Linked DNA regions of Saccharomyces cerevisiae S288C. The gene in region 1 interacts genetically with each later gene. Each region holds a gene or a part of one and is shown in the gene's direction. Other genes may lie near its edges.

Region 1 (4,448 bases):
AAGGAAGCCATTGATATGTATTCAATACAAAATCCCAAGACTTATGAAATACACACTTTGAAAGAACTTCCCGATTTGGTTCCCCAAAACGGAAAATATGCTTTACTGAAGATTTACATAAAGGACGATAAAAGGCCTGCCTCTACTAGTCTATTAAGGAATGGTACTGTTGATATTTCATTAATTGACTCCCCTGGGTTGAACATGGACTCGTTACAAACCGCCGAAGTAATGTCCCGACAAGAAGAAATCGACTTAGTTATATTTGTTGTCAATGCAGAGAACCAGCTAACACTATCTGCCAAGGAGTTTATTTCTTTAGCATCTCGTGAGAAAAAATTAATGTTTTTTGTTGTGAAAAAATTTGACAAAATCAGGGACAAACAACGTTGTAAGGAGTTGATCCTAAAGCAAATCCGTGACCTGTCCCCAGAAACATATAAACGTGCAGCTGATTTTGTCCACTTTGTTTCCAAAAACGGAGATGAATTGCCACATTATCATAATGAAAATGACAATGAAGATCATGGTGACCGAAAACCTGACGACGACCCATATTCTAGCAGCGATCCCGATCCGGATTTTGACAGTCTGGAAGATTCTCTACGCAATTTTGTTTTGAAGAAAAGATCACTTTCTAAATTGTTACCTGCCAAGACTTATCTATCGAAATTATTAAGCGATATAATAATGATCTCCAAATCTAATATGAAAATGTATAGTGAAGAAGAAATAAAAATTAACGAACAACTGGAAACATTGAGACCTGAAATTTTGAGCGCTAGAGCAAAGTGCAATGATTTAACAACTTCCGTTGATCAAATGGCCGAGCAAACAATTACAATGACTTATAACAATACTAAAGAAGCACTTCTCAATGCGTTGGATGTTCCGCTACACGAATATCCGAAATATCAGGGCCTCGGTCAAATTTATGACTTCATATTTTCAACAGAAGCGTTCATAGCAAATCAGATTGATGAGTCAATAGGATCAAGTGAATTATTTGCCAAGCAAAAGACAGATTTACTGGTAAAAAAAATTTATGAGATTGGAAAAAATGAACTTGGTGATGATTTCATGTGTGAACGTGTTTTCAGAAGCGAACTAATGTTTAGAAAAAGGAAGCATTTGATAGGAAAAAGGCTTAAAGTATCTTTGTCAATAACTGATTTGTTTGCTCCAACTTGGAAAGGCTTTTTGTCTTACTTAAGCTGGCAGAAACCTGTCACAGCACCACTGCCGGATATAGAAGGACAAACTAACGAGGGTCAGATTGGCCTAATGAAGTATTTGGGTTTGAAAAATTATCCTTTGACACAATATTGGTCAAGACCATCATTGCTCTTCACATCAAAAATTCCCACTCTAACGCTGTACTTTCTAGGAAGTACAAAGGTTGTGGGGAACATTATATTAAACGGCATTAAATTATCGTCGTGGAGCTCACTCAAGAAGTTATCAGTTCCGGTTATAGTGGTAGGTTCCTTGTTGGGACTTACGTATTTAATTCATGACCTCCCCCGTGCCTTACCAATGAATCTTTCCATTAAATACAAAAGAAAGTTGCAAGAACTGGATTACATTCATCTTAACGCTCAAAGAACCTCAAATGAAGTACGTGATGTTTTGCGTGTACCTACACGTGAAATTCTAAGGTCGTGTGAAATAATTATGGATAAAAAACAAATCACTAAGAAAGAATTGGAAAACAAAAAAGAAAGTAACTTGTTGTCAATCAAATTCTTCCAATCTCTATACGAAGGAACCGTGGCTCAAAAATTGATGGTGGAAGAAATAAATTTAGACATCGATTAGATATTCTTGTAAATATATGAGGTCTTTTCAAATCAATATACATAATGTTACTTATTATTTTATTCCAAGCAGGTCCATTTTTTTTTTCACTTTGCACGAAATTACATAAACATTAAAAGGACCCTTGTGTATCTGCTTAATGATTTGCAAAACCTGCGGAAACGGAACGAAAAATGAGCAATCTCGTTCCGGTTCCGAGATCCTTTTTTTTTTTTAAATCTTGCGCATGTGCAGATTTTAAAAGGCGTCAGATATCGGATGTCCCTGGAAGTAATAGCTCCTCGAGTATTTCCTCCGTTTATTATTAATATGAGCAGTTTTTTAAGTTCTATTATTACATTGATAGTAGTTGCGTAAAAAACAAAGCTCATAAAAGTTTCCGATATGTCAGAAGTTTCCAAATGGCCAGCAATCAACCCATTCCATTGGGGATACAATGGTACAGTTTCGCATATTGTCGGTGAAAATGGTTCCATTAAACTCCATTTAAAAGACAACAAGGAGCAAGTTGATTTTGACGAGTTCGCTAACAAATATGTCCCAACGTTGAAGAATGGTGCCCAATTCAAATTGAGTCCTTACTTGTTCACAGGTATTTTGCAAACTTTGTACTTAGGTGCTGCTGATTTCTCTAAGAAATTTCCTGTATTCTACGGCAGGGAAATTGTCAAATTCTCGGATGGTGGAGTTTGCACCGCTGACTGGCTCATAGATTCATGGAAAAAGGATTATGAATTCGATCAAAGTACTACGAGCTTTGATAAAAAAAAATTTGATAAAGACGAGAAGGCGACACATCCAGAAGGATGGCCTCGTTTACAACCACGTACAAGGTACCTGAAAGATAATGAGTTGGAAGAACTACGGGAGGTTGATCTACCCCTAGTAGTTATTCTACATGGTCTTGCTGGTGGTAGTCATGAGCCGATTATAAGATCTCTTGCTGAAAACCTGTCTCGCAGTGGGAGATTTCAAGTGGTCGTCCTAAATACCAGAGGTTGTGCACGTTCCAAAATTACCACCAGAAATTTATTTACAGCTTATCACACAATGGATATTCGCGAGTTTTTGCAAAGAGAAAAGCAAAGACATCCAGATAGAAAACTATACGCTGTGGGATGCTCTTTTGGTGCTACGATGCTGGCAAACTATCTGGGAGAAGAGGGCGATAAATCACCTTTATCCGCAGCTGCTACTTTGTGCAATCCTTGGGATCTTCTCCTTTCAGCAATTAGGATGAGCCAGGATTGGTGGTCAAGAACTTTATTTTCCAAAAATATTGCGCAATTCTTAACAAGAACCGTTCAGGTTAATATGGGTGAATTAGGAGTTCCAAATGGCTCTCTCCCCGATCATCCTCCCACAGTCAAGAATCCATCTTTCTATATGTTCACGCCTGAAAATCTAATAAAGGCAAAGAGCTTTAAATCGACCCGGGAATTTGATGAAGTGTACACTGCGCCTGCTTTAGGCTTCCCAAATGCTATGGAGTATTATAAAGCGGCCAGCTCAATAAACAGAGTTGATACAATTCGGGTTCCTACCCTTGTTATCAATTCCAGGGATGATCCTGTTGTCGGCCCAGATCAACCATACTCAATCGTGGAAAAGAATCCTCGTATTTTGTATTGTAGAACCGATTTAGGTGGTCATTTAGCTTACCTAGATAAAGACAACAACTCGTGGGCTACCAAGGCAATTGCAGAATTTTTCACTAAGTTTGATGAATTAGTCGTATGATGTCACACAATTTTCAAACCACTTTCCTATGTATTTATACAACATTGGATCAATGCCCCTTTATTTTAAGTTATGTATTTTTTGTTGTCTTCAGTATACCTAAAATTTAAAGTTTTTTTCCCTATGCAGTGATTTTTATCTATATATTTTACTTTTCGTTAATTGAAGAGAGGAATTCATTCCATAAGTCCTCCTTAACTTTGAAAGTATGAGTACCTCTCTCAGGAAATGTCCTATCCTCTACACTTGCAATGTACTCCTTCAAGCCCTGAGTGGCAATATCTGTCATATTTACAGCTTGCTTCACAAATTTTGGGACAGAATCGCCTTGCATCCCGAGAAGGTCAGATATAACTAGAACTTGTCCACTGGTACCGTTACCTGCACCGATACCTATTGTTGGTACTGAGAGTTTAGATGTTATGAACTGAGCCATCTTATGGGGGACACATTCAATCAGGATAGACCAACAGCCAATTTTTTGTAGTTGCATGGCGGTTTCATACAGCTCCTGCATTTGTAATAGACTTTTGCTACCTTGCACTTTATAACCTCCAAGTGAATGAACTTTTTGGGGAGTTAGTCCTATATGAGCCATAACAGGTATACCCCGGGAGCACAGTTCTTCAATAAATTTCATTGCATATTTGTCTTTGGTGTAAGAACCGACTTCAACTTTGACTGAGGTGACTTTACTGTCCAATTTCATGATATCTATGGCATTCTTCAAGCCATCAGATATGCCCGATTCAAACGTACCGAATGGCATGTCTACCACTACCATGGAAGAACCTTCAGCTCTGCACACAGAGGCAACATGATATTTAAACTCATTCAAGGATAGTGTAATTGTGCTATCGTACCCCAATGAAGTCATCGCCAAAGAATCT
Region 2 (5,361 bases), on another chromosome or scaffold:
GTTGAGAAAACCATAGATATTTATATTTATATGTATTTGTACTTCTTTGAGCAATGTATATTTAAGACTGATCTCAACTTCAGCAACTGTTCAAATTCACTGTTTTTCCTAATTAAGCACAACATGAAAAACTAGAATTTTAGAAAGAAAAGGAAAAAGAATACCAGATGGTAGTTAATTTCTCACAAAAGCACTGCCAGGTAAAGGTATACAGCAAGGATGGACTCTCTTGAAGCTAGATTACAATTCATTCAGGTCCTGAAGAACCTGCAAAAGACGCTGCACAAGACCAGAGACTCTATCACATCATCGTCGACCACCACACCACCGTCATCGCAACAAAAGCTGAACAATGACCCTATACAGTTCTACTTGAGAAACTACAGACATCACTACGAGGACTTCCACCAATGTTTGTTCGATACAACCATGAAGATGGACCCACTAGATAGACTGGACGTAGTGATATACTATGTTAGAATAATAAGAAACTTATATCCGCATAGCCATTCCAATACCAATGTTACAAAAGTGTTAAACGAAGTGCTACTCATGGACATAGACTTGGTTTTTGAGCTTTGTCTGCCCTGCCAGGACTGGAAATCCCTCACGAATCAAGCCACCTGTAAAGAGCTATTCCTTGACTTATCCAAACTAATCCATTACGACGCCACCAGCGTCACGCACACACCATCAGACACCACACTCATAGACGCTACTACCTGGTACAGTGTCAAGACAGAGAGGACTACAAAGGACTATAAAGAATCATTGCAACGAACGGAGTCTCTGCTTAAGGACAGAGACTTGAAGAAATTGGCTTTCTTTCAGCAGTTCAATTCCGATACAACTGCGATCAACCCGGACTTACAGACGCAGCCAACCAATGCAAACATTTTGTTGCACAGGATGGAAGCAGACAGGGAACTGCACAAGAGGTCGAAAGAGACAAGTTGGTACATCGAAAGGCCCTCCAACGATATACTGGATGAATCCGAATTTAAAAGCTTGTGGACGCATTTTGAAACTACTGATTCCGGATTTGATAAGGACGATTACAAAAATATCAAGGCTTTAAATGACATTGCGAAGGCATCTTACATATATTAGTACCATGACGTTATATATATATCTGTGAAGAGAATCCGTATCTGTATTATATATACGTATATACGTATCAATGCGCGTACAAAATGAACTTGTCTTTTTCTTATCTCGATTTCAGGAAAAGCAAACTATTCAAGGTGAAACGGCGGCTAATTTTCCTCTAAGTTACTTTTATTGTAGTCCTCAACATGTGCAGACGAATAAACTTAACACGGTTTGCAGAGTGTGTTGTTGAGTATAAAACAGTCAATTTCTGTGGACCTGGCCGTAGCCTATTGCTGAAAACACACAAAAGAGGAGTTTGACGAGACTTAAAACAAGCCAAGGAAAATACCATGTTAGACTACTCCCTTCATTCGATGGTTTTACGCCGCATTTCTACACAAATGAATTTACATTCGGGCTGATATGGTTGCTACATAAGCGAATTTAAAATTTGAGAAGGTTCATTGTTGCCTTGTGGTTCGAGCTTAAAGATCATAAAGAACCGCGGGGAATTTGTCTAGTTACAAGCTGGAAAGGACTGAGCAGAGGAAGAGCATTCGTTCACAGAGAGGTCCACGATAGAAAAGTGCCAAGAATATTACTTCTTTCACATCAAAAATGTGTGACGGTTCCTTTGCACGTTGAAGCGTTATCATTTTTTTATGTATATACGGCACCGGTTTTTCGCCTTTTCCTGTTCGTATATTTATAGTCGCCCCGCCATTGCTCGCCCTGTTCCTGGTAGTCTAGGCTCTTTGCATTTCTCTTTTGGTGATTTTTATTTTTTATCTGCCGTTACCAATTAAGAAAAATTTCTGAAATCGTCCAACAGATATGCGTAAAGCAAATATTGCAATTATCATTTTGTGCATAACTTACCAATAATTGATTTCTGTTTCTGTAGGATTTCTCGACAAGAATCTCAACTTCTTACCCGTTTTGGCCAAGGACTTTGCAACTGAAGCAGCAGATTTGAGATATATTCTGGGGAACAAAAGAAGTATTAATGACTTTTACATTCTCCACTTCATCAAGGAAAAATGGGAGACCTCCTTTAAAATCAGTTTCTACGGAAGATAACATTCATCTATTGAGGAAGCGGCGTCAACAGCAGCTGTCAAGTAATTCTACAGATAATTCGCTGCATCCAAATAGTGGGCAGACTCCACGTGCAAGTGACAGCCAGGACGATGACATACGCAGCGCTTCAACAACCAATTTAGACCGTTTACGACAAGAACGAGAGGAAAATTCACTGGAAATGGACTGCACACAGTCAAGATTATCTCATAGAGCAAATATGCTAGTGGATGTCCTACCATCTTTTGAGATGTATAATGCCTTGCACAGACACATACCTCAAGGAAACGTTGATCCCGATAGACATGATTTCCCCCCTTCTTATCAAGAAGTTCGCACTCAAAGAATGACTATATTGCCCAGCAATGATAATTCCGTGGAAAGGTCACAATTGACAGCAGTGCCAGGATCCGAAAACGCATGTAATAATGCGACTGCCCATTCTCTTACCAACCTACATCCTCTACAAACACAACATCTTACAATAAACAGTACAAGAAGTGGTGGACAGTCGCTCCATTCTTCATCAGACACCAATATCAGTCAAATACCGTTCGAAGATGATCTAAACGACTCGGATAACATTTTTATAGACAAGTTATACACCTTACCCAAGTTATCCACTCCTATCGAAATTGATATAAGAATAACGAAAACTGCATCAATACCTCATGAGCGTCCTGAGGAACAGTCAATATTGAAGGAATACACCTCGGGTGATATTATTCATGGTTATTGTTTAATTGAAAATCGGTCCTCTCAACCACTGAAATTTGAAATGTTTTATGTCACTTTAGAAGCGTACATATCTGTAATTGACCGTCAGAAAGGGAAAAGAACGTTAAAGAGATTTTTAAGAATGGTCGATTTGAGCGCATCTTGGTCTTATACAAACATAACCCCAAGTACGGGTATTAATATTGTCCCCGGTGAAAGGGATTTTGACGATGCCATCATTGGTCTTTCAAACAGCAGAGAATTGAAGCCGAACACAAAGTATAAGAAATTCTTCATGTTCAAGCTTCCTACACAGTTATTGGACGTGACTTGCAAACAAGAGCAATTCTCACACTGCCTTCTGCCTCCCAGCTTTGGTATCGACAAGTATAAAAATAATTGTAAATACTCTGGCATAAAAGTAAATAGTGTCCTTGGCTGTGGGCATTTAGGTACAAAAGGTTCACCCATTCTGACACTTGACATGGCAGATGATAATTTATCAATAAATTATACAATTGATGCCAAAATTGTCGGTAAAGATAAAAGAACATCTAAGCTGAATATTATGAAAGAAAAAGAATATAACTTGAGAGTTATGCCCTTCCCCTTTGCTGGTGTCACTAATCAACAAAACGAGAAAACGTGTTTGAGACAACTGAAAAATTTGGAAAGCTTGATTGAAGATAGATTTGAAGCTTTGAACAAGATTTTCAAGAAACTGGAATTAAATGAGGCCATTTCGAATGTAGATATTCATGACACAGATATAAGCGGGACTTTGGACGGTAATGAAGATTTGGATTCCGATGAGATATTAAGACGTAAGCTAGATCAACTGCACATCAATAACAGGATTGATGATACCGCCAGCCAATCACCATCCTATGACTCCAAAAATATGGCTCCAAAGGAAAACCTAGTCGAGACTGAGTTACGCTATAAGTTTAAAAATAAGAATAAATCAAATTCAAGTTTATTTTCTCATTTTTTGAGTTCATCAGAAACGGGGTCATCTTCAACTGGTCCACATGTATATAATTCCGGATTGATTGTATTATCAGTTAAAAAACCGCAATCTACATTACCTTATTGGTCACCATCATTGTTGAGAAAAACCAACAAATTTGAAGCAAAGAGTGAACAAGAAAAGGAAAACTGGCAAAGGTTAATGGGCATGCTTCCAGAAGGAGTGAAAACCCCACTGACCAAGTTAGATGTACATTTGACTTGTATCCAATCTAATAATAGTGCAGGACATAAGCCGCCAGAAATAAGCTCTGTAACGACAGAATTTGTGGTCATCACAGCAAAGTCTGATAATTCGATTCCTATCAAATTCTGCACTGAACTGTTGATGAATGAGAATAGATTAAACAAACTAAAGACAAAATTTTTGACGTATCAGAAAAAAGTTCATGAATATCGTAAAAAATTTGAAGAAAACCATGCGAAGCTAAACGAGCTTTATAATAGAAATAGAGATCATTTCACTCCAAAAGAGCTTTTGTTCACAAATTTCATATCTGATCAAATAAACAATGATATTGACAGTTTAGCTGGATTAAAAGTTAACATTATTGATTTACATGATATCTTCAAAAAGCAAATACATACTTTTGAAGAAGAAAACGAGGATATTATTTCGAAGAAAGGAAGTTCCAATCCTCCTTCCGCGTCATCCAGTAATAATAATTTCTTACAAGCAACATTTAGCAATGGTGCATCCACCGCTACTAAGTTTACTCAGCAAATTGTGCATGAATGGGAAAAAGTTAAGCCATTACAGTATAAGAGGGATGTTACAGTTAATTTGAAGCTCAACCCCAACATTAAAGAAACGTTAGTGCCCAATCTTGAAACGTGTTTGTGTTGTAGATTTTATTGTGTTCGAGTAAACATCAAATTTGATAACCACTTGGGTTCTATGAAAGTTGATATTCCGGTTGATGTGAAAAAGTTACAAATTTAGACCATACAACACTAACAGTAATCTCGCAGTTTTACAAATAATTGATAAAAGCAGGACTATTTTTTAACCATTTAATATACCTATTACTATTAATATCATTAATATTATTATATTATGTACAGTCACTTATTTCTTTTTTTTTTTTTCTTTCTTTCTTTCGTTCTATTTCCCCCTAGTATATACGAATTCTGCACATCACAGCAAAATATATGGCTATCACATGGCACAGGTATTACTAAAGAAGAAGAGAGACAGAAATAGTATAGGCATGTTTTACTAGCTTCGATTTTCTTGACAAAAAAAAAAGGAAATTTGTTCTATTTACTTTAAACTTTAATGCCCCAATGGATGGCACATATACCAAAAGTTAAACTTTCGTAGCCAGCAGATTTGAATCCTGCCTTCTCAATCATGGATTTGAACGTTTCTTGGTCAGGAAATCTTTCGATAGACTCCACCAAATACTGGTAAGAGTCGTAGTCATTAGCAATCATCGAGCC
Region 3 (3,221 bases), on another chromosome or scaffold:
ATGATTACGTCTATATTTTCTAACCGAATACCGTTAAAATTGCGTTGAATAGTACCACGAATAGCATCTTGCGAATTATCCGTGGTGGGTAATAAGTTGGAATTTCTGGAAGCGTCTTCTGTACGTATTGACAGGATTGAAGGAACAGCGCCGTAATTAAAGTTCAGAGAGTGAACCCTGTGTAAGACGGAAAGCAGAGTAAATATCCTATTAGTGTAGCCGGTCAATTGTGAGATGTCCTTTATCGAATGCATCAATCTCGAGCCTGCATCTGCAAGCGACAACATCAACCTTTTGTTGACTATAAATTCCTTCATATTTTTTTCCTCTGAATTGATGCCTGTCGCTAAGGTAGACATAACGATAGGGATTGAGGCAAAAACATAACCCAAACCGGACCATGTATATTTTAAAACATAGTCTTCCAACATATTGTAACCAAACTTGACTTTATCAACCAGCAGCATTTTTTCCATCAGCACATCATACAACTCTTTAACTTTCGTCCTTTCCACTGCTGTTCCTTGGTAAAATGCGATCTCTTCGCTATTATTTATCATGTTTAGATGATAATTGTAGTAATCGCCGTCTGAAGCAGATCTCTCGCCTGCCAATTTACCTAATGGTGGCGTGTATTTCCTCAAAATAAACCCAGTAATGAAATAATTAACAAATATACCTGCTACTCCCACAGTTCCCAAATTATCACGTAAATAAACCGAAAAGAATATTAAATCAATAACTGGCTTTGCAATGTTTGCAAAAACGGAGCATGTCGCATCGCAAAATTTTGCAACATCATTAGTAATGGAGTTGTCGATATTCTTGATTACCGAATTGGACGCCTTTGCATCAAAAATTAATTTGTAAAATGTTAGTCTTTTATCCAAATACATGTCATGGATGTAACGTGTCAAATTTACCCTAAAGTTTAAACTCAACTTCCTTTGAAGTAGCTTAATAGCACTATTAGTATAAGAAGCAGGGACAGCAATTAAAAACCAACACCCTAAGTCCCACAGAAAGCTTCTTCCTCTACCAGCAATTATATTTTTGACTATTTGTCCATCCAGCTTGGCTACAAACAAAGAGAGCCAAGTTCTCATCACCAGGAAAAAAATTTGAGCAGTTAAAAGAAGAAAGTTTTTGTCAAAAACTGTTGGAATTAAAATTTTAGACAAGACGTTCATTTGGTTTAAAAATTTTGAGTAGAATAACTGCGAATTCTTGGCTCTTTCCAGTTCTACATTTTTAAAAAGAAACTTATCGTGTTCATATACATCGTTATCCTTTGGTGGAATAAATATCCTTTTCCTTTTTTTTTTATCTGTAGCATTCATAAATTTGTTGTCATCGGGACTCTGGCGGTCGACTAATTCCACTTCAGGAATATACATTATTCTTGCACCACTGTCTAATTGCATTTGAGATCTTGTTCTTCTTATTAAAGGTCTCCTATTCCTTCTCTTCCATGGAAACTTGTAAAATTTATAACATTTTAGAATAATTTTGAAAGTACTATATGTTACACCAGAAAAAAGTGTGACACCAGATAGGAAAAGCGATACCAATAAAATCTGGGCCCTTCTTCTTAGCTTAGGATGAGCAGCGTTTGATCTAGATATCTGTAGAAGATGCCGTATCAATAACTTGAAATATACTTTAGGTGTGACATCGTTAACGTGTAGCCCAATACAGTGAGTATGTAGATTCAGGAGCAAACTCTTTAGTTTCGCTGGTGCTGCTAATGTTGTTGACATTTCTGTGTTATGCGTTCTAAGACTTCCAGATTGTCTGAAACGGGTTTCATTGTTAGTCTCACTTCTTAGAGAAGCATTCTTATATATCTTGACTCTAAAAGGGCTGAAAATAACCGCCGAAATTAAAAATTGGGGTAAAAAAGGGTAACGAAACTTATGCGGTTAAGCCCGATCAACATATAGCTGAATATTGCGTCAAGAATAATTTCTTAATCGGGATTATTTCCGAAGGAAGAAATTCTATTGAAAAAAAAATCTTAACATCAAAACTGCTTATATACATTCCACAGGTTCAAGCGGTCATAAGAGATCTGACTTTTGATAGAAAAGCTAGTTCTTTAAGAAGGCTGAATAGAAGCTAAGCACTATTTTCTTATCAGGAGTATTGCTTTCTAATGAACGTTTATTTCATAAGTGCTAGCTTTGAATGCCTCCAGTGATGAGTTTTGCATCGAGGAATATTGGACGTAAGATAGCAGGAGTGGGAGTTGACATTGTATACTTGCCAAGATTTGCACATATACTAGAGAAATATTCCCCATTCGACCCATGTGGCCGTTCTACCTTGAATAAAATAACACGGAAGTTCATGCATGAAAAGGAAAGATTTCATTTCAGTAATCTTCTCATCGAAGAAAACTGCTTAACTCCACGATTGCATGAATATATAGCGGGAGTTTGGGCTTTGAAGGAATGCTCATTGAAAGCGTTGTGTTGCTGTGTTTCAAAGCATGATCTACCTCCTGCCCAAGTACTGTACGCTGGAATGCTATATAAAACACAAACCGATACAGGTGTACCTCAGTTAGAGTTTGATAAGATGTTTGGAAAAAAGTATCCAAAGTATCAACAGCTCTCGAAAAACTACGATTCTCTCTTTTCCACTCATGAGTTTTTAGTTTCGCTATCCCATGATAAAGATTATTTAATTGCAGTAACAAACTTGGTAGAAAGAGAGTAAAAGTTTTCTTGCAGCCGTATAAATGTGGCCCTATTTTCAACGTCCAAGTTATTTTCTGCGATATTTGAATGACACTTTTAAATGCGTATATAACAGCTCTTAGAGCTCAGAGGAAGCTTTATCGCCGCCTTTTATAGGAACAAGAGTTATGTACAAAAAGCCATCAAAACTTCGCAATTTAGAATACAAATCATACAGGAGCATATGCCAAGGAATTTCAATTCCTTGACAAATAACCATGACATCATTACCATTGATTCCTTCCTTTACGTCCAGAATATCGCCTTCAATATCCTTCAACGTAGGATTGACTCCAGTCATACTGATAGTTGGTTGTGATATTCGAAAAGTTCCTGATGTCCTTGAGGTTTGAATGATGAGCGGTATATGTCGCGGTCTTGATGAACTTATCTTGTTAGATATTTCAATGAAATCTTGGAAATTTCTCGTAATAACACTGCCCCAAAATTTTCGAGCTTCGTTGACCGATAAAGACATAA

What was found. Genes that interact genetically often act in the same process or in processes that back each other up.
Region 2: mutations in EHT1 (region 1) and BUL2 together harm fitness more than expected from each alone (negative genetic interaction), as found in Saccharomyces cerevisiae (2 studies listed by BioGRID).
Region 3: mutations in EHT1 (region 1) and PPT2 together harm fitness more than expected from each alone (negative genetic interaction), as found in Saccharomyces cerevisiae (2 studies listed by BioGRID).

What each region holds. Positions count from the first base shown.
Region 1 is NC_001134.8:583,917-588,364, reverse strand, and holds EHT1 (medium-chain fatty acid ethyl ester synthase/esterase), read left to right. Parts: upstream 1-2,202; coding exon 2,203-3,558; downstream 3,559-4,448. Other genes in the region: FZO1 (mitofusin), read left to right, coding at 1-1,818; ECM31 (3-methyl-2-oxobutanoate hydroxymethyltransferase), read right to left, coding at 3,707-4,448. UniProt on the Saccharomyces cerevisiae protein: Displays enzymatic activity both for medium-chain fatty acid (MCFA) ethyl ester synthesis and hydrolysis (esterase activity). MCFA are toxic for yeast and this enzyme could thus be involved in their detoxification by esterification.
Region 2 is NC_001145.3:44,844-50,204, forward strand, and holds BUL2 (ubiquitin-ubiquitin ligase BUL2), read left to right. Parts: upstream 1-2,098; coding exon 2,099-4,861; downstream 4,862-5,361. Other genes in the region: CTK3 (Ctk3p), read left to right, coding at 220-1,110; COQ5 (2-hexaprenyl-6-methoxy-1,4-benzoquinone methyltransferase), read right to left, coding at 5,188-5,361. UniProt on the Saccharomyces cerevisiae protein: Component of a RSP5 ubiquitin ligase complex which specifies polyubiquitination and intracellular trafficking of the general amino acid permease GAP1 as well as other permeases such as PMA1.
Region 3 is NC_001148.4:271,794-275,014, reverse strand, and holds PPT2 (holo-[acyl-carrier-protein] synthase), read left to right. Parts: upstream 1-2,199; coding exon 2,200-2,721; downstream 2,722-3,221. Other genes in the region: ATP-binding cassette long-chain fatty acid transporter PXA1, read right to left, coding at 1-1,760; ATG5 (Atg5p), read right to left, coding at 2,821-3,221. UniProt on the Saccharomyces cerevisiae protein: Transfers the 4'-phosphopantetheine moiety from coenzyme A to a Ser of mitochondrial acyl-carrier-protein.